Sus scrofa: one gene and its partners. The protein of the gene in region 1 purifies or fractionates together with the protein of each later gene. This does not show direct contact. Links are inferred from orthologs where the notes say so. Each region holds a gene or a part of one and is shown in the gene's direction. Other genes may lie near its edges.

Region 1 (3,500 bases):
TTTTTTGGCAGCCCTGTAGCATATGGAGTTCCCAGGCCCAGGATCAGATCTGAGCCACATTTGCAACTTAGGCTGCACCTGTGGCAAAGCCAGATCCTTGGACCTCCTGTGCCAGGCTGGGGTTGAACCTGTGTCGTCCTGTTGCTACAGAGACGCCACTGATCTGTTGCGTGCAGCAGGAACTCCATCATTGTTTTAATAGAGTAGAAAATACCCCATGGCATTGGGCATTTCATAAAGTTGTTTCATATATATGTGATGTTTTTCTTATTGTGGGTTTTGGTTACAAAAGTTTGATTTACTGTAGTGGTTCTTAACCAGAGGTTGATTTTGCTCCTCGGAGAACATTTGGCAATGTCTAGAGACGTTTTTGGTTTTCACAGCTCGAGGGTGCCACTGGTATTTATTGCGTAGAGGCAGGGATACTGCTAAGCATCCCATTATGCATAGAATAGCACCCCCCCCCCAACAAAGATGTATGTAGCCCAAAGTGTCACTAGTGCTGCTACTGAGAAACTGATTTTAGTGGAGCAGAGAGACATATAATCACACTCATTTAAGAGTACAGTGAGGGAAATGACAGAAACAGTCACAAAGCATAGGGAGAGATATTACACTCTATGTAATTGTGCAAGTTAATTTAATCTTTAAATGATCTTGTAAAGGATAGGTTACTATTCCACTTTATAGATGGGAAAAACCAAGGTTGTTCTGAGTGATTAAGTAACATACCTGGTACCACATAGAAGGTGGTGAGCTGGTATTAGTGTGACCATTACCTTCAAATACGTTGGAACAAACAGGAATCGTCAGTAGACAAGTTTGATGTCTCAGGGATGAGGAAATGAGAAAGTTTAATGTGCTGAAAAGAGAAGTCTGTGTGCTAGATTATAGGATTTGGGGTAAGTAGGAAAGGAAGCAGGAAGCAAAAAGAGGGACTGATAAATTGGGAGAAGATGAGAGTCAAGAGACCGGATGTCCTGATGTGCCTTTAAGTAGGAATAATAGTAAGAAAGGAACTAGAAAAGGAAGTTGTAATCCAGTAGTAAAATACTGGAATTTAAGAATTCCAGGATAGGAGTTCCTGCTGTGGCTTAGTGGGTTAAGAACCTGACTAGTATCCATGAATGTGCGTGTTCGATCCCTGGCCTCCTCGCTCAGTGGGTTAAGGATCTGGCATTGCCACAAGCTGTGGCTCAGATCTGGAGTTGCTGTGGCTGTGGTGTAGGCTAGCAGCCACAGCTCGGATTTGATCCCTCGTCTGGGAACTTCCATATGCCGAGGGTGTGGCCCTAAAATAAAAAAAAGAATGATAATTTGTATAATTTCGTATTTAAAGTTTTTGACTTTTTTTTTTAGGTTGAGACTGAGCTAAAATTAATCTGTTGTGACATTCTGGATGTACTGGACAAACACCTCATTCCAGCAGCTAACACTGGCGAGTCCAAGGTTTTCTATTATAAAATGTAGGTTCTATACTAGATGGGAAAATGTCAGATTAAATGTTGGCCTTTTTAGAATCACTTTTTCTTTTAGGTTTTCAGCATTTTATTTAATGTTGAAAGGGTAGTTAACGGGAGGACTGAATCTCAAAACTTACATTAATTTTTGAACACACATTTGCAAATTTACTGCTAAGAAGAATCAGTATTACTGCATTTAAGACGGTCAGACTGTTACTGTAAAAATGTCCTAGGTTTTGCTTTTCCTATTTATTATGTTCATTGGCTTGTGTAGGGCTGCCCCCCCTAGCTACAAGTAATGCAAAGTTTTTTTTCATGATTAATAAACTACCGTGTCAGTCTTTGGAACCATTTTTCTGTTTTAATTCAGGTCTGTCAAGTGGTTAAATTTGATTTTTTTTGAGCCCTTTTGGTTAATTTTGTCTAGGATTTTTCTTAACATTTGGCAGTGTGAAATCTGAGGAAAACTAAAGAGATGAGGCAGTCATTCCTGAAAGAGACTTTTTGAAATTTCTGAATTATATGTGTTAATTGTTATGCATTTTTTTTGCATACTTGATTTTATGTACTACAGAAAAATTTGAGGAATTTATTTTAAAAGTATTATTCCTAATTCTGTTGTTTTTTTGTTTGTTTTTGTTTTGTTTTAGGAAAGGGGACTACCACAGGTATCTGGCTGAATTTGCCACAGGAAACGACAGGAAAGAGGCTGCAGAGAACAGCCTAGTGGCTTATAAAGCTGCTAGTGATATTGCAATGACAGAACTTCCACCAACACATCCTATTCGTTTAGGTCTTGCCCTCAACTTTTCAGTATTCTACTATGAAATTCTTAATTCCCCTGACCGTGCCTGCAGGTAAGTCATGAAAGAGAACAAAAGCTCTCAACTGTGAATGTGAAAAAGGTTACAAGGGAGAATAGCTACTTGTTTTTCTGTCTTGTTCCCTGGGACTGCTTTTGTCCCCTTGGCCATGTAATAAGAATTATTTTGGGAGATCCTGTCATGGCTCAGTGGTTAAAGAATGTGGCATCCATGATGATGCAGATTTGATCCCTGGGCTCACTCAGTGGATTAAGGATCTGGTATTGCTGTGAGCTGCGGTGTAGGTCGAAGACATGGCTTGGATCCCGAATTGCTGTGGCTGTGGTGTAGGCCCAGCAGCTACAGCTCTGATTCGACCCCTACCCTGGGAACCTCCATATGCTGAGGGTACGGCCCTAAAAAAGTAAAAAACAAACAAACAGAAAGAATTATTTTGGCTCTTAATGAAACTGTTTTGGATGATATATAGACTGACTGATTTCAGTTCACTAGGATAGCAGGATAATTATGTTGATGGGGAAAAATTTGATTGGTAGAAATTTTCACAGTACTTCATTTTTATGTATTAATTTTCAAAGCCTTTCTACCATGTTTTTAATATATTACACTCTTAGTGTACATCTCATTTTGTATTTTGCATCCTGTTACTTCCATCAGTATGTGAATATTCCCTCATTTATACTTCAGATTGTGCCCCCCCCCCCTTTTTTTGTCTTTTCTAGGGCTGCCCCTGTGGCACATGGAGGTTCCCAGGCTAGGGGTCTAATTGGAGCTGTAGCTGCCGGCCTATGCCAGGGCCACAGCAAAGGATTGGAGGCATGTTCTCGACCTGCACCACTGCTCACGGCAACGCCGGATCCTTAACACACTAAATGAGGCCAGGGATCAAACCCCTGACCTCATGGTTCCCAGTCGGATTCATTAACCACTCAGCCATGACGGGAATGCCAAGATTGTTCCCAGTTGTTGATACCGACATAAATTTGAGGAATATCTTTTTTTAAATTAATTTTTTTAATCATTTATTTATATATATATTTCTGTACAGCATAGTGACCCAGTTATACTTACATGTGTACATTCTTTTTTCTCATACTACGTGTTCCATCGTAAGTGACTAGACAGAGTTCCCAGTGGGAGTATCTTTATCTACATAGCTTTTTACTTATTAAATATGTATAACGTTTATTATTCTAATGATTTTTTCATTTTT
Region 2 (3,500 bases), on another chromosome or scaffold:
TCCCTGGCCCTGGGTTAAGGATCCGGCATTGTCATAAGCTGCGGTGTAGGTCGCAGATGTGGCACAGATGTGTAGTGTAAGCCGGCAGCTGCAGCTCTGATTCGACCCCTAGCCCAGGAACTTCCATATGCCACGAGTGCGGTCCTAAAAAGACAAAAAAAAAAAAAAACAAAAGACAAAAAAAAAAAAAAAAAAACACCTCATTTCCTTTGAATGTTGAGTCAGCTTCCATTGTATGAAGGTGTTGCCATCTAGCTGTTCTCCTCCTGAAGGACATCTGGGCTGCTTCCAGGTTATAATGTGGCAGTTGTGAATGTAGATGCTTTAAAGATTCATGTGTGGGGTTTCATGTGGACATCAGTTTCCACCTTCTTGGCACACACACCAAGGAGTGGGGTTGTTGGATTGTATGTTTATTTAGTTCTTTAAGAAACGGCCACAAAATAAAAGGTCCAATGGACATAAAGTGCTCAGAACAGTGTCTTACCATGGTCAGCGCCCTGCTTGAGTTGGCCATTGCTGTGATGGTCATCATTATTCTTATTCTGAAGTTCTTTGTGGCCTTGGGGGTTTCTGCCTGGTTCTGTCTCTTCCACATAAGTGTGTAGTTATTGTGAGGATCTGGCCTCACAGTAGGTCAGGTACGCATACACATGCATCTGATTCAGGGGATGGACCGCCTCTCACCAGGCGTCGTAGATGAGGTCTGGTATGTTGCCCTGGAGCAGCCACGGGGAAACATTGAGTAAACTTGAGTGAGAAAAACTGATGCTGAGAGCATTGTAAGAAGCAAAAAAAAAAAAAAAAAAAATCTGGAATTAAGGGAAGGGGTAATTACACGCATTGAGCAGCATGGGAATCATTTCAGAGAAATCAAACAAAAAAAGATTATCCCGGACACAGTGGAAAGAATACCAGCGTAGGGTCTCTTGTAGAGTAGTGGGTTAAGGATCTGGTGTTGTTGGATCATATGGTAGCTCTGTATTTAGTTTTCTGAGATCCCTCCATAATGTTTTCCATAATGGTTGTACCAGTTTACATCCTGAAGTCTGGGTTTATTACCTTCTCCTCTGTATAGATGTGTGGATGTGCACGTGTATGCCTAAAGACTTAATTTTTTTTTTTTTTTTTTTTTTTTTTTGTCTTCTTAGGGCTGCACCTACAGCATATGGAGGTTCCCAGATTAGAGGGTCAAATCAGAGCTGCGGCTGCTGGCCTACACCACGGCCACAGCAGTGCGAGATTCAAACCACATCTGAGACCTACGCCATAGCTCATGGCAATGCCGGATCCATAATCCACTGGGCAAGGCCAGGGATCAAACCTGCAGCCTCATGGATGCTAGTCAGATTTGTTTCCACCAAGCCACAACGGGAATTCCTCATAAACATTTTTTTAATATAAATGCATTATGTAAACTTTATATATTATTTCTCTCTACTTTATTTTATGTGGATATTTTTATCCACTACAGATATGTCATAATGTTGTTTCAGAACCTCTGGTGTATGTCAGGGTTGTTTTCCGAGTAATAACAGCCACTCTCCCCAGTGATTCTCAAGGCAGCTGCTAGTTCACGGAGAGGCCAGAAGGCTGGCACATATGTGTGTCAGCAGCATGTGGCTCTTAGACATGGATAGAAACTCCCTGTGAGGCACCACAAGACGGGGGGGAACTTACTTATGTTCAGATTTTAACAGGTAATTGTAGTCGGTTATGATGACTGATGAAAAATTGGCTTAAATTCCAATTTTAAAATGTAACTTTGAAACTATACTTCAATAAAAAAAATTTAAAAATGCAGTACTCTGTAAATCAACTATACATTTAAAAAAAAAAAAAAAGTACCTTCATTCCTTAGGTTCAAAACTTTGATTTGGTTAAAAAATTAGGTGCTAAGTGTGTTTTAAGTTAAGTGTTCAATGTCACTTTTTTTTCCTCAAATAAAACAAAATCCTAACTGTCACATAATATTGACTTTTTTTCCCCCAGCATTTTGTTTTCTTCCTTTTTTAAATAAATATTTTTTTGGTTAAAGTATAGTTGATTTACGATGTTGTGGCAATTTCTGATGTACAGCAGAGTGCCCCAGGCATAACGTTAAATACATAGATGAATAAATAATCAACTTTTTACTGCTAATTTACCTTGAATGTGTGTCTTCTCGTTTACTCTACTTCTGTTGCTGTTACGATTAGAGAAAGAAGTTTGCCAGCGATAGGGTGAAGAAAGTCATTTCTTCTTTGTTTTCATGTTTCTTAATAGTTTACATGTTTTCAGAAGATAGTTTTACAGCTGATCTGATTCATTTTAACTTAAAAACTTTTTAACTGGTTAATGAGCAATGCTGTCTGTCTAGTGACCTCAGATGAAAGCAATAAAACTTGGGGAAGGAACACGGTCTGTCGACAAGAAGAATTTGAAGATGTAAAAAGGAATTTCAAGAAAAAGGGTTGTACCTGGGGACCAAATTCGATTCAAATGAAAGAGAGAGCTGATTGCAAAGAAAGGTGAGTGTGTGGCTTCTGGTGGCATTATAGTGTGTACTGAGACAAAGGGCAGTGTCTTTTTCTTTTTTTTTTTTTTTTTTTTTTTTTTAGGGTCACACTCATAGCATATGGAGGTTCCCAGGCTAGGGATCAAATTGGAGGTACAGTGTCAGCCTGCGCCACAGCCACAGCAACATAGGATCTGAGCTGCTTCTGTGACCTACACCACAGCTCATGGCAACGCTGGATCCTTAACCTACTGATCAAGGCCGGGGATCAAACCTGCAACCTCATGGTTACTAGTCAGATTTGTTTCTGCTGCGCCACAATGGGAACTCTAAGGGCACTGTCTTTTAAATATTTCAATGGCTGGGCTTAACTTTTTAAAAGCATTTAGAATAATGCAGAGATACCCGAATATGTATCTAACTTCCGAATGAGTTCATCATCCTCAGTTAACTATTATTAGTTAAGCAGTTAAAAAAAAGTCTGTCTCATGTTAAGGGTTTATTTGTATTCTGCTGAGTTCTTTTAAAACAGAGTACAAATGTTTTTCTTTAACGAAAAATATTGTTGGCCTGTATCCTCCAAAACCTAATTTGTGTGTCACGTGGTTCTATTATCTCAAAATAAAACATTTTTCTCTTCTAGAATAAGACCTCTCTCAGATGGCAACAGCCCTTGGTCAACTGTCTTAATAAAAAATCAGAAAACTGTGCCGTTGGCTTCTTTATTTGTGGACCAGCCAGGTAAATGTGCGTCGGGAAGTAGAATTTGTTTGAATTAGGAGTTCCCTTTGTGGCTCAGCGGTTAACAAACCCGACTAGGATCCATGGGGATGCAGGTTCGATCCCTGGCCTTGCTCAGTGGGTTAAGGATCCAGCATTGCCGTGAGCTGTGGTGTAGGTAACAGATGCAACTCGGATCCCGAGTGTGCTGTGGCCGTGGTGTAGGCCAGGAGCTATAGCTCCAATTCGACCCTTAACCTGGGAAACTCCATATGCTGGGGGT
Region 3 (4,207 bases), on another chromosome or scaffold:
ATTCTGCTCTTGGCTGCAGAAGAAATGGCACCTCACTTTTGGTTTTTGTCAAGACCTCAGTCAGGCCCCCTTTGAAGGTAACAGTTTATTTATGAACACATCCCTTTCCTTTGGCTGGTCTGAGCGGTCTAGGGAAAGAGACCTGAGCGGGCTGTGGCCTGTTTTAAATCCCTAGGCTCTCCTCCCTCCCACTCCCTTTTTGCTCTCCTCCCCTTCACATTCCTGCTACTTGGAAAGACAGTGAGGCCTCATACTTCAACATTTTCTTAAAGAACCACTTAGCCATTCTTTCTCCGGGATGGGCACAAGATGCCAGTTATTCCCTTAAATGAGTGGATGTTTTAAAAGCTGGGTGGGAGACCACATACTACAAATTTAGATGAACAAATTAAAGGGAATTAAAAAATCTCAAGAACAGCTTTTTCACACTTCTCTACCACCTTTCCTTAGGCTGTGTGGAAATAAAATAAACGAAGACCACCAATGAGAACAGGCTATTCATTCAAAGCTTGCTGTAACAAGGGAGCCAGCCGCCTTCTCTTAGTTTGGTAGACTTAGAGGCCGGCAGTTTAAAAAAAAAAAAAAAAAAAAAAAAAAAAATTAAATTAAAAAAAAAGGGCAGGGGGCGGCGGTAAAGCTTCAGGGTATGCTCTGATTGGAGGTTGTTAACACGGGGTAGCTGGAGGCGGGCTAACTAGAAACTGGGCATCTTAAGTGATTGGTTTGAGGGAATATATTTGGCTTTCTCTGATTGGTCCCGAGTTGGGAGCAGGGGCAAAAATTCGGGAAGCTGGCAGTCAACGACGAAGTTTTTTGCCCCTTCCGTCACTGCAGAGGCTGTGGTTTCGCCTCTCGTGCTACTGGAAGCAGAAGTTGAGGGTCGTCAACACATGGTTTGGTCATTGCCCTGTATATTGTCTCTCAGCTGGGTGAGACCCAGGTTTATATTTTCCCTGGACCTAACTTAAACGTTCTAGCTTCCAGTTCTTGTTTTACCTGGAACAAGAGTCCATTCCTGTTATTTTTGTTAAGGATAAACGGAGACATTCAGATGTGAAAAATATTTATGGGTATAAATACATAATTATCTTTCTGATGAGGGTCAATCTGGAAAGGGAGTCGCCTTCGGTCTTCTGGTTCCCCATTTATGTGCAGAGCTCTTATTCCTATAATAACTGACTCAGTGTTTCTTTCCTTTGGGAGAGGCTAGGCCTCCCTGGTTCCCTCTCTGAGAATTGCTCTTTGGAGCAGAGCGAGGAGGATCGCTGCCCCAGTGTCCCATTCTCTTTCCTGAGGCTCGCTCTCCGGGTTCCGGCCGTGGTCGCACCTTGGCTACTCAGCATCCCAACACCCCCGCGCCAGATCCGCCTCTACAGTCTCCCCCACCCCCCGCTTGCCCTGACACAGCGCCCCCTGTCCCCAGCCCCGCGCGCTCCCCGGGGTTCTCCCCGCTGCACCGGTCCCGGCTGGCCCCCCTTCCGGTGCCCAAACCCCGGCGCGCGCTGGCGCCTCCAGACTACTGGTTCCGCGTGTTCCTGGATGGAGGCCGGAGGGGCTCGGACGCGACCCCTCGGTCCTGCAGCAGCCTCCTTCGCCCGCGGGAGATGTCAGGTCAGCTCTCCCGTCCCCGAGCCGCTACCCGGTCTTTGGTCAGGAAAAAGCAGATCCTCCTCAGGTCCCACGCTCCCGATTTCCACTCTAGGGGGACCCTTCCCAGCGACCATTCCCCTATCATTTCTCCTCAGCTGTAGAAAGAGCAGCCCTCCTTTCCCTTCAGAAAGGGAGCCGTATTTCCCTTCCGACTTCCCCTCCACCGGGGCCCCGTGAGTCCCGGATCCGTAGGAAAGCACAGGCCTTCATTTTCTCCTCGGGTAGGTTCCCTGGCCAGGATTTGTCCTGTCGCGAAGCAGGACAGACTGAGACGCCGCGGCCGACACAGCTGCGGCGGCGGCCGGAGTCTCGCCATCTTGCGCGGAGGAGGAGCCGCAGCGGCCGCCATGCGGAGAACGCAGGGAGGAGGGGGGCAGGGAGCGGGGGAGCCGAGTTAGCTCAGTCCGGGCGGCGGCTTCGACGGCGCCTTGAGCGCGGGCAGCGGCGGAGGTAGGGCTGGACGGCCCCGGGAGCGGGCAGGCGCTGGCTGGTCGGCAGTGCAGCCCTGGCAGCTGAGCGGGGGCGGGGCGGGAGGAGGCCGAAGCGAGGGGCCGGGTGGGGGCGGGCGGAGGTTTCCGAGGAGGAAGGAGCGGCCGCCATTTTGGGAGCTTCGAGTCAACAATAAAGGACCGGGGGTGCCGAGCGGGAGTGGCCTCGGTGGTAGGACTCGGGCTCGAGCCGCGGGAAGTGGGGTGAGGCGGGGGGGTGGAGGTCGGCGTTGACGCCGAGGCTGCGGGTAGCCCCCCGGCAGCTCTGAAAGGGGGTCTGAGGTGGAGGCCTGAGGCCTGGCCGGGCCCTGGGGAGGAAGGCGGGTGGCGGGCGGCAGCTGTGTGGGGTGGGGGCGCCCGGGAGGAGTAGGATGGAGCAATGTGGTGCGCGACAGGGTCTGGAGAAGGAGCGGGCGAAGTTCGCAGAGGAGTTTTGTAGAAGATGAGGGAAGGTGGGACCGTAGGAGGCAGCAAGGACTTAGGGAGATGGTGGAGGTTACTGGGTAAAAGGCGGCCCTATAGGGGGCGGCAGGGATATGCGGTGTCGGGAGAGCTTGGTTTGGAAGAGGACCGGCTGTTTGATCTGAGTAAGGCCGTGTAGGTCAATAACAAGGCGGTGATCTTGGAGCCCCGGATTCTTGGAGAAAAGAACAGGCCTTCTGACTTAAGGGTTTCTCTTTGGGGCCTTTTTGGGGGAGTCCCTATTGTTCCCTACCCGCGGAGCTGGTTCCCTGCTCTTGTTGCGCAGATACGATTGCAGGGCTCCAGCCCTTTTGTGTTTATGGGTCCAGAGAGCTGACTTGAAGTGTGTGGGTTTTTTTGGGTGGGGGTGAGAAGATAGAAGCAAGAAATGATTTCCCTACAATTAGGGAGCTCGAATCATTGGCTTGTTTCTTTCCCTTATCGCCCAGTCCCCTTTCTCTTCGACAGTCCCCTCATCCCTTCAAAATAGAACAGTCACTCTAACTTGCACACCAAGCTTAGAGAAACTGCGCTGCATTTGCAAACAAAAGGTCTTTTTGGAGATGACGGTACAGTTTGGCGTGTGAAACTGTCAGTTGCTAACTACGATCTGGAAAGTGCTGTAATTAACTCCGCTAGGGGCTCCTCCCAACTAGTCTGTGTGTCGTTCGTATTTTTGAAAATGTAGAAATATAACTTGCAAATCTAAATTGAGAAAGGGTAGGAGGAATATTTCCTTTCCTGAGACATAAAGCTGCAGTGCAGGCTTTAGCTTAATTAAGAGGGGAGCAGTTATCACATAGTCACATTTTGGATATAGGAAGATAGAAGGTCTTGTGTGTATAATGGACAGTGATGATATCATTTAATCTTTAGAGGTTGCCTTCTTCATCCTCTTAGTGCTTTGCAAACCAGTCTTCTGGTGTGAAGTAGCTGGTATTGCTGATCATAATATAAACCTGTCAATACTGGAAACCACTTACTACCTTGAACTGAAATTAGGTGGCTGTTAACCACCCTCTGCTTAAGAGGACTTTCAGCTTCTTGGGAGACGTGGAAATAGACAGCTTTGTGTATGTGATGATCAAGATTTGCTTTTGAGCAGCTTGATTTTTATTTAAAAAAAAAACCTCAAAGAGTATTTTAAAAGATTTTATAGTTTGAGAAATCTCGGTATATGGCAAGAAAACATTAACTAGTAAGCTAGTGTATTTTTGGTAAAACATTTAAAGCAGTTGACAAACCAAACAGGCCTTTATTTTCTGGCTTTTTCTGCCTGGCTTTTAAATTAAGTTTTTATTTACAAATAATTTGATTGGGGAATAGTTTTTTAAAATTTAACTATTAATTGGTACTCTGGGTTTCCTGGAGAGTTTGATCAAAGTTACTAGTGTTTTTAGCCTCTCACAGATTTTTTTTTTAATAGAAGTAAATTCCTTTTTGTGTTTTTGTAATTTAAAAGCAGTGCTATTTCAAGTTGGGATATGCCTTTTGAAAAGTGTTATACTAAAAATTATACCAGTTTTGTAGTATTCAGATTTAATTAATGTAGCTAAAGATTTTCTTGGCTGTTTTTCAAGCAAAAGTGTATACATTTTATATCCCTT
Region 4 (4,220 bases), on another chromosome or scaffold:
TTATTTGAGCCCTGGGGTGGTGCCAGACAAGTTCTCTGCCAGACCGGATGCCGAGAGGATTCTCACATCCACCAGGATGCCGGAACCTGCTAGCGTCTGAGTCTGAACCCACCCTGACTCATGAGGAATGCCCCAGATCCCTGGGTCCCAATGCCAGGCCTTGCTGGGCAGGCTGTGTCTCTCGGGGCGGTTATCCTGCTGTTACCCAGCAATGAGGACCTAGAAGCTGGGGAGGCAGGGCCAGGGTAGCCAGCAAGGCAGGGCTGCAAGCAAAACCTGGGCCAACAGTGGCACCCTTCTGTCTCTTATGAAAAAAATAACAACATGAGCACTGCTATGTGGCTGGCCAGGAGCTGCTCTGGGAGTGACCAAAACAGGCAGACCTTGACCTGCAATCTAGGGAGGAGACAGAAACTGACAAGGAAAATGTTAGAAGGAATAAATGCAACAGAGAGAATTAAATGGGTGCACTAGACAGGCTGGACGGCTGCTCCACAGAGGGGGTGGGGAGTCAAGGACAGGCTCTCTGAGGAGGTGACCCTGAATGACAGCATCATCACTTTGTCTTTTTTTTTTTTTTTTTTTTTTGCAGCTCCCCGCGGCATGTGGACGTTCCTGGGCCAGGGATGGAACTCTCACCACAGCAGTGACCCAAGCCACAGCAGTGACAATGCCTGATCCTTAACCCACTAGGCCACCAGAGAACTCTGTCATCCCTTTGTCTTGATTATCCGACCAATAGGATTTGCTGTGGTGTTCGCCCGCAGGATGCCCCGCTGCCCCTGGCCACTCTTTTCTCCCTTAGGGCCAGAAGCCTCCGTCTCTTCCTCCCAAGAAGCAGCCCTAAGATGCCGTGAATCTCCTATAGGAATGAGGACGGCTCCGAAGGAGTTGGGTGGGGCAAAGCCACTTTCTAGAGACGAACAAGGCTGGGGTCCGATTTGCGAGACTGGGGTAACAGCAGCACCAGCTTTACTCGGTTTGCATTAGCATTAAACGTGCACCGGGACACAGTAAGTGCTGAGAAGGTGGCAACTACCTCGTTAAATGTCGATAAATGTCAAATGTCTCCCCCGGGACTGAGGAGGCGGGGCCTTCTCCCTGGGCCTCAGTTTCTCCCGCCGCGCACTCTGGCCTCAGTACAAGGTAAATTCAGGTGCACATCTTCCCAGTCTGTCCACACCCCTAAGCTTCGGAGCCGGTTACAGCGGAAGAATCCGAGGCCGCAGGAGATTGGGAAGTGGCGGCTGGGAATTTATGCCCCAGGCGAACCCACGCCCCTCAATGGCCACGCCTCACCTCTGATGGCCACGCCCTTGACCCCTCCCCCTCGCCTGGAGTGGGCCCAGCCAGCGTGCTCCTTTAAGGCAGTCAGCCGGCTGGGAAGTGTTTCGCCCCCTCCGACGCCGCCAAGGTACCGGCTTCACCTTTAAGGCGGCGCGGGGACTGCTGGGAAGGCCGGCGGGATGGAGGCAGCGGGACCTGCTCACGGCTGCTGCTCTGGGTGAAGCCGGGAGGGAGCCGGAGCCAGAGCGGGAGGCGGGCCCGAACGGGAGACGCAGGTCCGCGCGGGCCGATCGGGCCGGGCCGGGAGAGGTGGCTCTGGGTCGGCCTAGGAGAGGGGTCGTCGTGGGCGCGGCCTGTGACAGGGCCATGCCAGCCCGCGGGGAGGGGGCGCGGTCCTCGGTGGCTGGGGGCGGGAGCTCGGCCTTTTCAGGGGAGGGGTCTTCAGGACTTCGTGCTGCCCTATGATGGGGAGGGATTGTCGTGGTCGCGGCCTGGGGGGATGGAGAACCTGACGTCTCACCTCCTTAGGGGGAGGGTCTCCCCAGGGTCGGCCTGCCCCGGAGGCGGGGCTCTGTGGCTCGGCCTGCCTGTTGGGGAGGGGGCTGGGGTCTCTGCGTGGGAGTGAACCCCCGCGGTCCTCGTAGGACCCTCCTCTGGCGCGCCCTGCTCTGGCTAAGGGAGTCTCCGGGGAAGCCCCGAGATTGGGTGGCTTAGGCCGGCCTGAGCCAGTGGTCTGGGCCGAATCCGGGTCCAGCCTCGCAGGTCGCACCGCATTGCGTCTCCCGGGCCAAGACGAGCCGGGCGCGCCCCCTGTAGGCCGAGCGCGAGCACGGTGCGGGCTGCAGCCTGGGGCACCAGGGCACTCCAGGGATCCAGGCGTCCGGGGACCCAGGTGTTTACCTAATCCAGGGCGGACGGCGGCGTGGCCCCAGGCCCGGCACCCCCTGCCCGCCCTCTCGCCTTCACAGGCGGCGCGACCATGGCCACGATGGTGCTTCCTCGGGAGGAGAAGCTGAGCCAGGATGAGATCGTGCTGGGCACCAAGGCCGTCATCCAAGGGCTAGAGACCCTGCGCGGGGAGCATCGCGCCCTTCTCGCGCCCCTGGTCGCTCATGAAGCTGGTGAGGCAGAGCCTGGCTCACAGGAGCGCTGTGTCCTCCTTCGCCGCTCCCTGGAGGCCATCGAGCTGGGGCTGGGGGAGGCCCAGGTAGGCTGGTTTGGGGGTGCTCACGAGGGAGGTCATGGGAGGGATGGAGCCTTCCAGAGGAATCCTGGCAATGCAGTAACAGAATCAGCAGGGAAGAAGCATATGTCCTCTGGAGCCCCATGGTAGGATCCGAGTCATGAAATGGGTGGGCTTTGGAGACCCCAACCATGCCTGGCCCCAGGAAAGCCTGATCATCTCCCTTCTCTGCTAGGTAGCAGAGACTGAATGGCCTAGGAAGACAAAAAGGAAATCCCCCATCATTCTTTTATTTATTTGTTAGCAGATAAGTTCTCAAGAGCCTACTATGTGCCAGGCAACATGTTAGGTGCCAAGGACGCGTCCAACAAGACAGACAAGATGCGTCCCCTAGTCCAGTAGGGAGAGAGTCAGAAACACATCTATTTGTTCAATATTATGGTAGGTTCTCCAAAGAAAAGAACAAGATTTTTGATAAAGCAGGAGGTCTTCTTTATTGGTCAGGCAAGACTTCTGAGGAAATGACATTTAAATCAAGATCTGAGTGAATTTGCTAGTAAAAAAGTAGATCTGAGGGAAGGAGTGAACCAGCCTCCAGGAAATGAGCGAACAGTTGCATGTGCAAAGGTCCTGAGGTAGGAAAGATTGTTCTGGTGGGAGAACTGAAAGAAGACCTATCTGACTGGATCTTCCTGGGGAAGGAGAGAGGGACCAAAGAGGCCTGTGAAGAAGGCAGGGACTCCATCATCTGTGCTTTACTAGTTTGGGTTTTATTCTTAGGAAAACACGAAGCCTTTGGAGTGTTTAAGCAGTCAAGGGACATAGTCTGGCTTAGATTTTAAAAACTCACTCGGGCTGAAGCGTGGAGACGGAATGAAGCATCGAGGTTAGGGTGGGAACAGGTGGTTAGGAAGCCGCTGCTGGAATGCAAATGAGAAATGGTGGCTTGGGAGTTCTCATCACGGCTCAGTGGTTAACGAATCCGACTAGGAACCATGAGGTTGCTGGTTCCTTCCCTGGCCTCACTCAGTGGGTTAAGGATCCGGCGTTGCCGTGGGAGCTGTGGCGTAGGTCGCAGACGCACCTCGGATCTGGCCTTGCTGTGGCTCTGGCGTAAGCTGGCAGCTGTAGCTCTGATTCGACCCCTAGCCAGGGAACCTCCATATGCTGCAGGTGCAGCCCTAAAAGACAAAAGCAAAAAAAAAAAAAAAAAAAAAGAGAGAGAGAGAGAGAGAGAGAGAGAAATGGCGGCTTGGAGTAAAGGGATGGCCATGAGGGCAGTAAGAAAGGGGACCAGTTCTAGATGCTCTGGGTGTAAGTCAGGCAGGGCCTGGGATGGACTAAGGGGGAGAGAGGAGAGCAGGATGGCTCCCAGGTTTGAGGCTTGAGCAGATTAAGGGGAGGAGAGAGCCTGGATGGATCAGGGGTTCGTTCTGTGGCCCTCTTGGGCCGGGGCTGCCACGATGACAGGCGGATGGCGATGTCCAGGAGGCACTGGGGTGCACAGGGAGTTAGGGCTCTTGGGGAAAGAGCTTTGTCCTGCTCAGATCTTGGCGGAGACACTGCCTGGCTCCACGAATCCTGGCCAGGTGGTATCATCTTGGTTTCCTTGTTTTTAAAATAGGGATCATGCCATCTGCCATACACACTTTCAGGCTGTTTAGGGAATTTTTTTTTTTAAAAAAGCTAGTGGTTGTGAAAACACCTGTCACTTAGGCATTTGCTAATCAACTAGAAAGCACAGAGTCCC
Region 5 (3,500 bases), about 32 Mb from region 1:
TTACTAAGTGTTAGGTACCATGAAGAATAATTCGTGTTTTTTTTTTCCTCTTACGTTTCATAGCAGCTCTATGTAATGATACTTTTGCTCTCTCCATTTTACAGGTGAAGAAATTGAGGTTTAGGGAGAATAAGTGATTTGTTTAAGGCTTCCTTAAACCCAGGTCTTTCTAACTCCAGAGTCCCTATAACTGACTGCTGCACTCTTAAGAAAGCTACTATTTGTATTTAAAAGGTTTGTTTTTATTTTTTAAGTAAAATATAGTAGTACAGATAATTCAGTTAAAATCTCAATCCAAGGAGTTCCCCTGGTTTCAGTGGTAACGAACCCGACTAGTATCCATGAAGACTTGGGTGCAGTCCCTGGCCCTGCTTAGCGGGTTAAGGTTCTGGCATTGCCCTGAGCTGTGGTGTAGGTCAAAGACTCGGCTCAGATCTGGCATTGCTGTGGCTATGCTATAGGCCGGCAGCTATAGCTCCTATTTGACCCCTAGCCTGGGAATGTCCATATGCTGTGGGTGCGGCCCTAAAAAGATTAAAAAAAAAAAAATCAAAAAATCTCAATCCAGGAAGAAATGCCTAAAAGAGCCACTTGATTTAGTTACTGTCTTAATCCTTTTCCTCAGTTTAAAATAATCAGATTACTAAGAACCTGGAGTTCCCTGAGGGCTCAGTGGGTTAAGGACCCACTGTTGTCACTGCTGTGGGGTGACAGCACAGCAGTCCAGGAACTTCTGCATACCACAGGTGCATCCCCCTCCCCCAAAAAAAGAAACAGTCTGCCTCTAGAAATGTATTCAACTTTGACACAAAATCAGATTCTATAACTCTTGTTTCACTTGTGTCAGTTGTCCTGAATTTTAAGAGGTTGTGCCAGACCATTCCTCCAGTGTGTTCTCAGCGTTGGAACTACCAAACAAGTTTAGCCATTAAGTAATACCAGGAATTGGTTAGCTTCCTGGAAACAGATTTTGTCAACTTGATAGACCAGCTCTTATAATAGCATCATTTTACACAGAATTAGAAACAGTTTCTCTAGTCACACGTGTCATGTATTTGACTTGAAAAGCATATGTGTGTGTCTGCATGTATTCACATCCATCTTGTTTCGATGTCTGAGATGAGACAATTGAAATTCTCATTTCAGAGGGTGGTTACCTTGATACCGAAAACTCCATGCATTCTGCTGCAGGACCATCACTGGATGGTCCTCAGAAAACACCCATCTAATCATAATTGTACTTGAAATTAACTGTTACATTTGGCTCAATAATTTTATACATGTATAATATTTAATGACATATGAGCAATATATAAGCATGTGTGTGTGTGTGTATATATATATATATATATATTAGCCAATCATCCTAGCTTAGATGTTATGCTCTGTTTTTACATTTTGGTTAGGAGGTTAAAAAACAAAAACCAAGCAGGTTCCCTCTCTTTAAGGAGCTTATAGGTAAATTGCTAAAAATATAAAATAATCGATGGGATGTATGTGTTTTAATTTTGACAAGTGTCTTTGTATAGATACCCACTTCCTCCTCTGTTATTCCATTTATCTCATTCTTTTGGTTTTACAGCTCTATCACTTTCATACTTTTGAATATATTTTGAAGTGGAATTAGTTGGGAAGTTACTCTACTGATGTTTTTCCAGCAAGTCTTAAATCTCATTTTCTGATCAGGCAAAAACCTCTTCATGGGCACCCTTCTCCTTCCTTTTCTGCACCTTCTCAAATGGCATATAGGGCATCTGAGTAGAGTTGGTCTAGGAAAGGGGAGAAGCAAATAACACCGTTTTACTTCCTATGCTCCATGCTGCTCTTTCCATGGGGTATGAGAATATTTTCAACAGACAGTGATACAGGGCTGAAGATCGGCACCCTTTTTGGGTGGAGCCTTTTTATTTTTTTCAATTTAAAACTTTTTAAAAATTTTGGCTGCCACTGCAGCATGTGGAAGTTCCCAGGCCAGGGATCAAATCTGTGCCACAGCAGTGACCCGAGCTGCTGCAGTGACAACACCAGATCCTTAACTTATTGTGCCACACGGGAACTCTTTTTTGGTGGAGTCTTACACTGCTTATTTTAAGGTGCGCCCTGAGTCCCTAAGTGACTGACTTGTTACTAAAGCAAGTGTAAAAACTCATTCCTCAGGTATCTTTGCAGATCAACAAATCAATTTTATTTTCTACACCACAGTGCCATTTGAGTGGACAAGGACCTCTTGAAAGACCTGGGAGAATTTTGCAAAACATGGAATTGGGCTGTTTTAGGTTCTAGGTTTTAGCCAGTTGTCTTCAGTGCATGAGAACTCTAGTGCTCTATGCTATTTCAAGAAAGGGGGATTACAAGTAATACCAGTAAGGCAGAGACAATGCGTTGCTTGGTCAGTTAGGGAAGAAAAACAATAGAAATGCCTTTTAACTTCCCTCTGGGAAGCAGAAAGCCTATAAACTTGTAAAGAGTTGGGAGGGGAGGCCTTCAAAGGCTAGGCAACTTATGTTCAAAACAGCAACCTGAGGTCCTCGTTTAGTACCTTTTAAAACATGCTTTTCTACAAACGATGCTTTTCTACAAACGATGCTTTAAGAATAAGTCGGAGTTCCCATCGTGGTGCAGTGGTTAACGAATCCGACTAGGAACCATGAGGTTGCGGGATCTATCCCTGGCCTTGCTCAGTGGGTTAAAGATCTGGCGTTGCCCTGAGCTGCGGTGGAGGTGGCAGACTCGGCTCCGATCCCACGTTGCTGTGGCTCTGGCGTAGGCCAGCAGCTACAGCTCCGATTTGACCCCTAGCCTGGGAACCTCCATGTGCTGCGAGCGAGGCTCTAGAAAATACGAAAAGACAATAAATAAATAAGTAAATAAATAAAAAATAAAAAAAGAATGTCTTTGTCCCATAATCAACTCCATGAATTCATCTTTTCACTCCGTACCCTACTACACTGTGCTCTGTTGTTCTTCACTTCATTCCAACTTCTCATCTATTTTTTCTGGTTGAGTTTCTCTGGCACGAGGAATTGCTCTGTTTGAGCACCTCCCTTGCCCCCAGTGAATTCATAGATATTGCTGCCAGAAATCTGATTGGAAAGCTATTAGAATCCATTAAAATTCACATTGCCATAGTCTGACCTCAGTTATCTACTTTTCACGGATAGCAAATTCATGTGATTATAGTTACAGGATCTGTCATTTCACCTGGGCAGAACTCCCTGAGTATGTCATGTTTATTTGTGAAAGTACTTTTGTGGTCTGTGTTAAAGTATCTTAGTGCATGTGCTTTCTTTCTTTGCAGACGAACAGGAGGCACTGAACTCGATCATGAAGGATCTGGTGGCCCTCCAGATGAGCCGACGTCCCCGGGTGCCTGGATATGAGACCATTAAGAACAAAGACACTGGTCACCCAAATAGGCAGGTGTGTGTGTGGCCATAGCAGGCTTAATTGGACTTGGTGGGGAGAGGTGTTCAAGTGGGAAATATTTGAGAAGCCAATGA
Region 6 (4,165 bases), on another chromosome or scaffold:
GATCGAACCTGCATCTTCATGGATCCTAGTTGGGTTTGCTAACCGCTGAGCCACGAAGGGACCTCCTGTAACATTTCTAAGGAATGGGACCACAACCTCTGGGAAAGGTCTTAGTGTCCCCTTTGACACCCGTGCCTAATGATAGTTTCTCTGTCAGACTGAGTGCTTCCTTGAGGAACAGATGACGATGACTGTGACTCAGAGGCCTCCTAGTTTTCCTTGCAACCTGTGTTCGTAGTGCTGGGTGGGGTGTCTCCTTTACCACCCTAACTTTGTATTTACTACAAATACAAGTATCCTAATTATTAAGGTGTTACCTTAGGAGAGTTTCCACGTTTCCAATACTTGGGTCAATTAAACAATCTCACATTAAAAAAAAAAAGCAAAAAAACCCCCAGTGATCTAGAGATAACATGGTCCTGGAGGGATGTTTCCTTTCCCTATCCCCACCCTTACAGTTTTTTTTTTTTTTTTTTTTGCTGTTCCTCCCCGGGCCATGGGCCGGTTTGATGACTCTAATCCCTACATAAAGCTTCCCTTGGAATGCAGAGACTTTGCTTCCCTGCCTAGGAACTGGGAGGTGGACTTTACCCTCCAGGTCCTACACGTAGGCTTTGAAGTTTGGGGGGAAGGGAAGGAAATGTGCTCTCAGGAAAGCCCTAGACTGTCAGTGGCAGGTAAGATTCCTCTTCAATCCTCAATAGGTACACAATAAATAGTTGTTGAATAAATACGTGAGAATATCAGAACCTAGCAACATAAACTAAGTCAATCTCTTACATACCTCAACGATTAAAACCTAGGAGGCCAGATTTCGCTGTTTAACTACAGCTAGAAGATAAGCAGAGTGCCTGCAGTTGGTTGAGCACCCCTGCCTTTACTCGTCAAGGGACTGGAGTCAATTTCCCCACTTCCTGAAAGATTAAAATGGATTTACAACCTGGGGTTGAGATCCCCTTCTGTTTAGAATGACAGTCATTCCTATTCTGTGGAAACTCACCCCTCCCGGTTCCCATTCATTCATTCACTCATTCAACAAATATTTATTAAGCATCTAACAAATGTCGGTCCCTGTTGCAGGCGTTTGGGATAAAGCAGAGAACAAAGCAAGAGATCTTTGCCCTGGTGAAGCTTGGCGTAGGGCGAGACAAAAGACAAATATGATATTTAGATTTAATTACATAACTTGGAAGGTGATAAACACTACAGAGAAAAAGGCACCAGGCTGCATGATTTGGGGAGGCCAGGAGACGGGGGAGAATCCAAGACAGGGGTCTGGCTCGGGTTGGGGAAAAGGGAGACGGAGCTGATGTGGAGGCTCTGACGTCGGGGGACTGGGAGATATTTTCCGCAGAATGCGACGGAAGAGGATTCCAGCTTATGCGGAGGTAGGTGAAGGTCAGAAGACAGTCCCCTTGCGAAGCCGGGAGGCGGGGGATTGTTTTGCAGCAGAGGCGAGAAAATGCTTTGGCGGCTCCCGACCCCGGCCTGGCGGGGGCGGGGGCGGTCGCCAGCGGCTGACCACTACGCCCCCAAAATGGCCTCCCGATGCCCCTCGCCGCCCCGCCCCCGGCCCACGTGACCCAGACAGCCCCTCCCGCCCACCCGGGCTGGCGACCCCAGGTCCGGGTCCCTGACGCGGCCGGCCCGCCCCTCGTGGGAAACGGACCAACTGGAGGAAGGGGAGGGCGGGGCAGGTGGTGACGGCCAATGGAGGTGGAGCTCCGGAGGGGAGTAACAGGTTGGTGGGAGGGGGAGAGAGAAGGAGGGAGCGCGGAGGGACAGAGGGGGAGGGCCCGGGAGCCGCGCGTGCAGCTCTACCCGAGCCCGAGCCCGAGCCCGGGAGCGCCGAGCCCGGCTGGGGTGAGTGAACCGGGCGGGGGCAAGGGCACCTGAAAGGCAGGCGAGCCCTCAGGTGTACCCCTGAGGGGTGGGAGTCGAGGCGATCTGAGATACCCAGGGCACAGGTGCTGTGTTGGCGAGAGGAGGAGGGGAGGTCGAGGTAGGGTGGGAGCACTGATTAAGAGCTGGCTCCTGTCCTCAGGTGCCAGAGGCAGGTGCTTGGGAAGGTGCCAGGTGAGGGGCACCTGAGGCTGAGGCTATTCCCAGGGCATGAAAGTGTTTCAGGGCCAAGATAGCTCTGGTGGTCAGACGCCAGTTCCCGGGGCAGGATTTCTCAGAGGCGGGAATGGTGGGGGGAAGGAGTGTTTCCTCAGTTGGGCAAAGGGGACTGCTGCCTGAGGTTCGGAGACATAAGTGAGAGGGCGTGGAAAGGTGCTGTTTCCCTGAGGTTCTTTCCTCCGACGGCCAGTCCGAGCTGGCGCTGATACCTCCCTTCTGACTTTGAGATGGCTCTGAGGTGTGCAATCTTTCTCTAACCATTGCTCACCTACAGGGCAAGACAGGTGCAATTAACAGGCACTGAGAAGTAGAGCAAGAGGGCACCCCCATGTCTGCTAGGTGTGAAACGAAGGCTTTCAGTTTTTGTCTTCCTTTGCTTTCTTGCCAGGGAGAATTTTTCCTACTTCCTCTTGAGAGAGTGCTCTACAGGAGAGGGATCTGAGTAAGCATAGATCCCGAGGTCTTCAAAATATGTAGAAATACATCTTTCTAAAGAGGCCTCTTCCTGGGAGCTAACGTCAACCCCCCTCTCCCCCCCAAGCACATACTTCCATGGTTTTAGATGGAGCCATTGGGTGACGTTTGGGAGCTTAACCAGGTTCCTTGATGCTTCTCCGAAAATCCCTATTACTTTCTGAAACCCCATCGGGCATCCCTGACAGCTGGACGGTGATGGCTATCAGGCAGTAGGCATTGGTTCAGGAAACTGGCGGAACTCTTCAGGAGACCACCCGAGTAGGGGATTTAGCCCGTCCAGGTCTCCAGGCTGGATGAGAGGTGCTCAGTCGGGGCCCAGGCAAAACTTCTGAAGCAGATTTCCTTGCCTTAGGCAGGTGAGGGAACCTGAGCCAGCCTTAGCTTAGCCCCTTTGATGCCCTGCCTGAGGAGAGTTGTTGTAATTGAGAAATAATTAGTAACCGCTATGTTGTTGACAGGCTGCCTACACATGCCTCTGCACCTCTTTTTTCATCCTGGATTTTTTGGAAATGGGGGGCTGGCTCTAGGGGACTGTTCATCCAGAGATTTGCCTGACCCTAAGAGGATTCTGGCTTCCTAGAACCCTTCCTGCTTTCCCCAGACTGATCGCCTGCCATCACCCCCATGGGAAGTGGGAGGGGTAGGGTTGCTGCTTCTTTTAGTACTGGCGGGTGGGGGGAGAACTAAGGTTCAGGGAGGTGGCCTGGCTAAGTGTGAGATCTGGAATGCAACCTTGGGAACTTGAGAGGGAGGGGTAGCGGGAGACAAAGTCTTCCTGTTGCACACTGACTTGTCACTTACCAGGTTCATTGTGTATTTGCTCCTCCTGCCTGTTCCCTCCCCAGCTCCTGCCTCTTCCTTCAGAGTCTTGGCATCTAGGCTGGACAGAGTCCCTGCCCAGGGCTTTGCCCCTCTGCCTCCTCTGTGGTGTGGAATTTCTCTGGTCTGCTTAACAAGCTGCCAGTGGCGTCTCCCTTTGCTTTCTCCCTCCCCTTCCCCTTGCTTCTCAAACCTGTCCAGCCAGTTTGCAGGGGCCCAGTTCCTCGTTGCATTCCCCCCACACACACACTGGCCAAGCCGCTCTAGCCTGGTGCTCAGGTTTGGCTTTTTCAGTGGACTGAGCTAGGAGTATACTTGGGGGGGATTCATTTTGGATCCTCGGCAGCCTTATCTCACTAACTCTTTATGAGAAAATAGCAACTGAAAGATCAAGGTCACTGAGCTGTCCTTTTCTATTTTGACCAATTGCTTTCCTTGTTACCTCTGAGAGGAGTCTAATCTCTGTACCTTTAGTTCACCCATTTTCTTCATCTGCCAGTTATATAGCATCTAGTATATTGCTTGGCCCTATGTATACCCACGCTTCCTCGGCACACCCGAAACCACCCCACCCCCACTTCCTGCCAGGAGTCCAGAGACCCTGTCACTCTTAGTTGGAAGCCAGAGAAGCCTTTGCCGGGGCCAGAGGTGATGGAATAGGGGCAGGGCAGGCTAATGAGTAACTCAGGGAGAAGTGGCTGTCTGATACAGGTGCAGTGCCCTCCCCCTTGTTGCAGGCAGGAACAGC
Region 7 (3,500 bases), on another chromosome or scaffold:
GTATGCCATTTATTTCATAATTTTGGGATTTCAATATTGTTCCTATTTATAGGGAAAATTTTTAGGAAATTCTTAAGGTATCAACCTTAAATACCAAAAGGTTTTAAAGGTGCATTATGAGATTAGAACTTAACTTAAAATTGGAAAGTAGGGGTTACTGTCATGGCTCAGTGGTTAAGGAATCCAGCTAGGAACCAGGTTTGATCCCTGGCTTCACGCAGTGGGTTAAGGATCTGGCGTTGCCGTGAGATGTGATGTGGTCACAGAGGCGGCTCAGATCTGGCATTGCGGTGGCCCTGACGTAGGCTGGTAGCTGTAGCTCCGATTAGACCCCTAGCCTGGGAATGTCCATGTGCCGAAAGTGCAGCCCTAAAATGACAAAAGACAAAAAAAAATTGGAAAATAAAAAATAGGATGAACTGAAGGGATTGAGAAGTTCATAATTTATAAAAATTTGGGCAGTAATTTCAGAAGTATTAGTGTTAATAACAAGAAAGGTATTATTTTACAACTAAGATTTGAGTTTTGAGACTGAATTAAAAGAGCCAGTTTACAGGAAAATAATTTCAGATACTTGAGGGTAGAGGAGGAAAGAAATAGGTGAGGTAGATTATGAAGTACAAACTTCTGGAGTTCACGTCGTGGTGCAGTAGAAACAGTTCGACTAGGAAGCATGAGATTGTGGGTTCGATCCCTGGCCTCGCTCACTGCGTTAAGGATTTGGTGTTGCTGTGACCTGTGGTGTAGGTCGCAGACTTGGCTCAGATCCCACGTTGCTGTGGCTCTGGCATAGGCTGGCAGCTACAGCTCTCATTGGACCCTTAGCCTGGGAACCTCTTAGGGTGCAGCTCTAAAAAGACAAAAAAAAAAAAAAACCCACAAAACTTTAAAAAAAAGTTCAAACCTCTAATTACAAAATAAATGAGTCACAGATATGAGATGTTTCAAATCACTATGCTGTGTAACAGGAGTTAACATTAGCAACAAACATACAACAAATTCAGAAAAAGAGATCAGATTTGTGGTTACCAGAGGAGAGGGATGGGATAGGGAGAATTGAATGAAGGTAGTCAAAAGATGAAACTTTCAGTTTTAATATAAATAAGAACTAAGGATGTGATATACAAAAACGATAAGTAAAACTAACATTGCTGAGGAGTTCTCTTGTGGCCCAGTGTTAGCAAACCTGATTAGTACCCATGACGATGGGGGTTCAGTCCCTGGCCCCGCTCAGTGGGTTAAGCATCTGGCATTGCCATGAGTTGTGGTGTATGTAGGTGGCAGACTCGGTTCAGCCCCTCCTTTGCTGTGGCTGTGGTGTAGGCTGGCAGCTGTAGCTCCAGTTCGACCTCTGGTCTGGAAACTACCATATGCTGCAGTGCAGCACTTTAAAAAAAAAAATAGAACTAACATTGCTGTGTATTATATAAGAAAATTGTAAGTAAAGTTATACAGTGCTGTACATTAAGCATGTCTCAGACTTGAAGATCAAGAAAAATAAGTAAGAACTAGTTTTAAAAAAAACCAAATGGGTAAAAGGACAATAATTTTTTGCTTGTTAAAAATCTTACTAGACCTGTTTTGCATAGTGGGACACTACTAACCAGTAATCTTTAAAGGAAACATTGGTTGTATTTATTGTTAAACATCTTAATGGAGAACCTATTAAAAACATGAAAGTTACGCCTTAATAAGACTTTATTGAGAGTAAGTGGTGGGTCTCTACTTTGAAGTTAACCATCCCTCATACACAGTACCTTAGAATCCTGGTCCTGCTGCATTAGAGCTAGTCACTTGATTTGAGGCCTCAGTTTCCTTTAATAATTAACAGATTTAAACTACATTGTCTATGGCCCCCTCAGACTATCATGATCTCTTGGTAGAAAATTTTAATACATTAAACTTAAAGTATAGGAGTTAGCAGTTTTCAGCAGATACTCAACCTAAATTAGAGATATTGACTTAGCTACTTAATGAGTTAACAAGTGCCTAAATTAATGTTGAAAATTTTTTGTTTTGTTTTTCCTTTTTTTAACAGGTAGCTGAAAATTTTGTTCCTCCTCTGTTGGATGCCGTTCTCATTGATTATCAGAGAAATGTCCCAGCTGCTAGAGAACCAGAAGTGCTCAGTACTATGGCTATTATTGTCAACAAGTTAGGAGGACATATAACAGCTGAAATACCTCAAATATTTGATGCTGTTTTTGAATGCACATTGAATATGATAAATAAGGTATGTGATCTGCATTTTTTAATGTACAAGAAATTATAATAGCAAGGTACATTTGAGATTGTTCAAATAGCAACTTGCATTTATTGAAAAATTGGCTTTAGTTGTATTTGTTGAAATAAACAGGCGGGTTTACATTTTTAGTTTTTATAAGTATAGTATATCCTTATAAAGAATGGGGAAATGTATTAACCAAGAGGAAGAAAAGGTACATGTAAGTCTATACCTTTATGCAGTAGGTAACAATTTTCTAATCTGTACAGTGGTCTCAAGGTCATTAAAATTGGTAGTGGGAGTTCCCGTCGTGGCGCAGTAGTTAACAAATCTGACTAGGAACCATGAGGTTGCGGGTTCGGTCCCTGCCCTTGCTCAGTGGGTTAACGATCTGGCGTTGCTGTGAGCTGTGGTGTAGGTCGCAGACTTGGCTCGGATCCTGCGTAGCTGTGGCTCTGGTGTAGGCTGGCGGCTACAGCTCTGATTCGACCCCTAGCCTGGGAACCTCCATATGCCGCGGGAGCGGCCCTAGAAATGGCAAAAAGACACACACACACACACACACACACACACAAACACACACACACAAATTGGTAGTGATGGAATTGCTATTGTGGCTGAGTTGGGTTAAGAACCCAACTAGTATCCATGAGGATGTGGGTTCTATCCCTGGCCTTGCTCAGTGGGTTAAGGATCTGGTGTTGCCGTAAGCTGTGGTATAGATCTCAGATGCCCAAATTCAACCCTAGCCTGGGAATTTCCATATGCCACAGGTTCGCCCTAAAAAGAAAAAAAAAAGTTGGTAGTGATTGTGTTAAAGTTACTAGAAAATGTGCGTGGTTCTTAGGTGGCTTTTTTTTTGGTCTTTTAAGGGCCACACTCTTGGCATATGCAAGTTCCCACCCTATGGCTCAACTACTGGCCTGTGTGCTCACCAAGGCTGGATCTGAGCCACATTTGCGACCTACACCACAGTTCACAGCAAGGCCAGATCCTTACCCACTGGGCAAGGCCAGGGATAGAACCTGCATCCTCATGGATACTGTTCAGGTTTGTTACCGCTGAGTCACAATGGGAACTCCTCTTACGTGGCTTTTGATGAGTTCTCTTTATAATTAAATGACCTTGTATTCCTTTGTTTTGGGAAGTGATTGGTATAATAAATAGTAATTTTGTCTTACTTGAGAGGTGAATTCTGTTGTCTTTGGGTTTGCTTTTTCAGCAGGCCATACATCTTATGGGATCCACTAAAAACTCCAAACATTTATACTGAATT

The links.
Region 2: the proteins of YWHAE (region 1) and MAP3K21 purify together in Homo sapiens (affinity purification with mass spectrometry; 3 studies listed by BioGRID and IntAct, with this or other methods). This does not show direct contact. The link is inferred for Sus scrofa from reciprocal best matches to the Homo sapiens genes YWHAE and MAP3K21.
Region 3: the proteins of YWHAE (region 1) and DDX6 purify together in Homo sapiens (affinity purification with mass spectrometry; 3 studies listed by BioGRID and IntAct, with this or other methods). This does not show direct contact. The link is inferred for Sus scrofa from reciprocal best matches to the Homo sapiens genes YWHAE and DDX6.
Region 4: the proteins of YWHAE (region 1) and KLC2 purify together in Homo sapiens (affinity purification with mass spectrometry; 3 studies listed by BioGRID and IntAct, with this or other methods). This does not show direct contact. The link is inferred for Sus scrofa from reciprocal best matches to the Homo sapiens genes YWHAE and KLC2.
Region 5: the proteins of YWHAE (region 1) and MAP3K3 purify together in Homo sapiens (affinity purification with mass spectrometry; 7 studies listed by BioGRID and IntAct, with this or other methods). This does not show direct contact. The link is inferred for Sus scrofa from reciprocal best matches to the Homo sapiens genes YWHAE and MAP3K3.
Region 6: the proteins of YWHAE (region 1) and CGN purify together in Homo sapiens (affinity purification with mass spectrometry; 3 studies listed by BioGRID and IntAct, counting the BioPlex papers as one, with this or other methods). This does not show direct contact. The link is inferred for Sus scrofa from reciprocal best matches to the Homo sapiens genes YWHAE and CGN.
Region 7: the proteins of YWHAE (region 1) and XPO1 fractionate together in Homo sapiens (co-fractionation; 3 studies listed by BioGRID, with this or other methods). This does not show direct contact. The link is inferred for Sus scrofa from reciprocal best matches to the Homo sapiens genes YWHAE and XPO1.

The regions. Positions count from the first base shown.
Region 1 is NC_010454.4:47,610,828-47,614,327, reverse strand, and holds part of YWHAE (14-3-3 protein epsilon), read left to right. Parts: intron 1-1,359; coding exon 1,360-1,466; intron 1,467-2,113; coding exon 2,114-2,320; intron 2,321-3,500. UniProt on the Homo sapiens protein: Adapter protein implicated in the regulation of a large spectrum of both general and specialized signaling pathways. Binds to a large number of partners, usually by recognition of a phosphoserine or phosphothreonine motif.
Region 2 is NC_010456.5:57,433,469-57,436,968, reverse strand, and holds part of MAP3K21 (mitogen-activated protein kinase kinase kinase MLK4), read left to right. Parts: intron 1-2,359; coding exon 2,360-2,510; intron 2,511-3,140; coding exon 3,141-3,238; intron 3,239-3,500. UniProt on the Homo sapiens protein: Negative regulator of TLR4 signaling. Does not activate JNK1/MAPK8 pathway, p38/MAPK14, nor ERK2/MAPK1 pathways.
Region 3 is NC_010451.4:46,061,037-46,065,243, reverse strand, and holds the start of DDX6 (probable ATP-dependent RNA helicase DDX6), read left to right. Parts: upstream 1-1,407; 5' UTR 1,408-1,611; intron 1,612-1,856; coding exon of another isoform or gene 1,857-2,654; intron 2,655-4,207. Other genes in the region: proline-rich receptor-like protein kinase PERK2, read right to left, coding at 1,857-2,654.
Region 4 is NC_010444.4:6,124,157-6,128,376, reverse strand, and holds the start of KLC2 (kinesin light chain 2), read left to right. Parts: upstream 1-1,420; 5' UTR 1,421-1,562; intron 1,563-2,196; exon of another isoform or gene 2,197-2,219; 5' UTR 2,220-2,266; coding exon 2,267-2,494; intron 2,495-4,220. UniProt on the Homo sapiens protein: Kinesin is a microtubule-associated force-producing protein that plays a role in organelle transport. The light chain functions in coupling of cargo to the heavy chain or in the modulation of its ATPase activity.
Region 5 is NC_010454.4:15,288,785-15,292,284, reverse strand, and holds part of MAP3K3 (mitogen-activated protein kinase kinase kinase 3), read left to right. Parts: intron 1-3,298; coding exon 3,299-3,420; intron 3,421-3,500. UniProt on the Homo sapiens protein: Component of a protein kinase signal transduction cascade. Mediates activation of the NF-kappa-B, AP1 and DDIT3 transcriptional regulators.
Region 6 is NC_010446.5:97,727,699-97,731,863, reverse strand, and holds the start of CGN (cingulin), read left to right. Parts: upstream 1-1,365; 5' UTR 1,366-1,388; intron 1,389-1,739; exon of another isoform or gene 1,740-1,863; intron 1,864-4,165. UniProt on the Homo sapiens protein: Probably plays a role in the formation and regulation of the tight junction (TJ) paracellular permeability barrier.
Region 7 is NC_010445.4:80,293,016-80,296,515, forward strand, and holds part of XPO1 (exportin-1), read left to right. Parts: intron 1-2,038; coding exon 2,039-2,233; intron 2,234-3,500. UniProt on the Homo sapiens protein: Mediates the nuclear export of cellular proteins (cargos) bearing a leucine-rich nuclear export signal (NES) and of RNAs.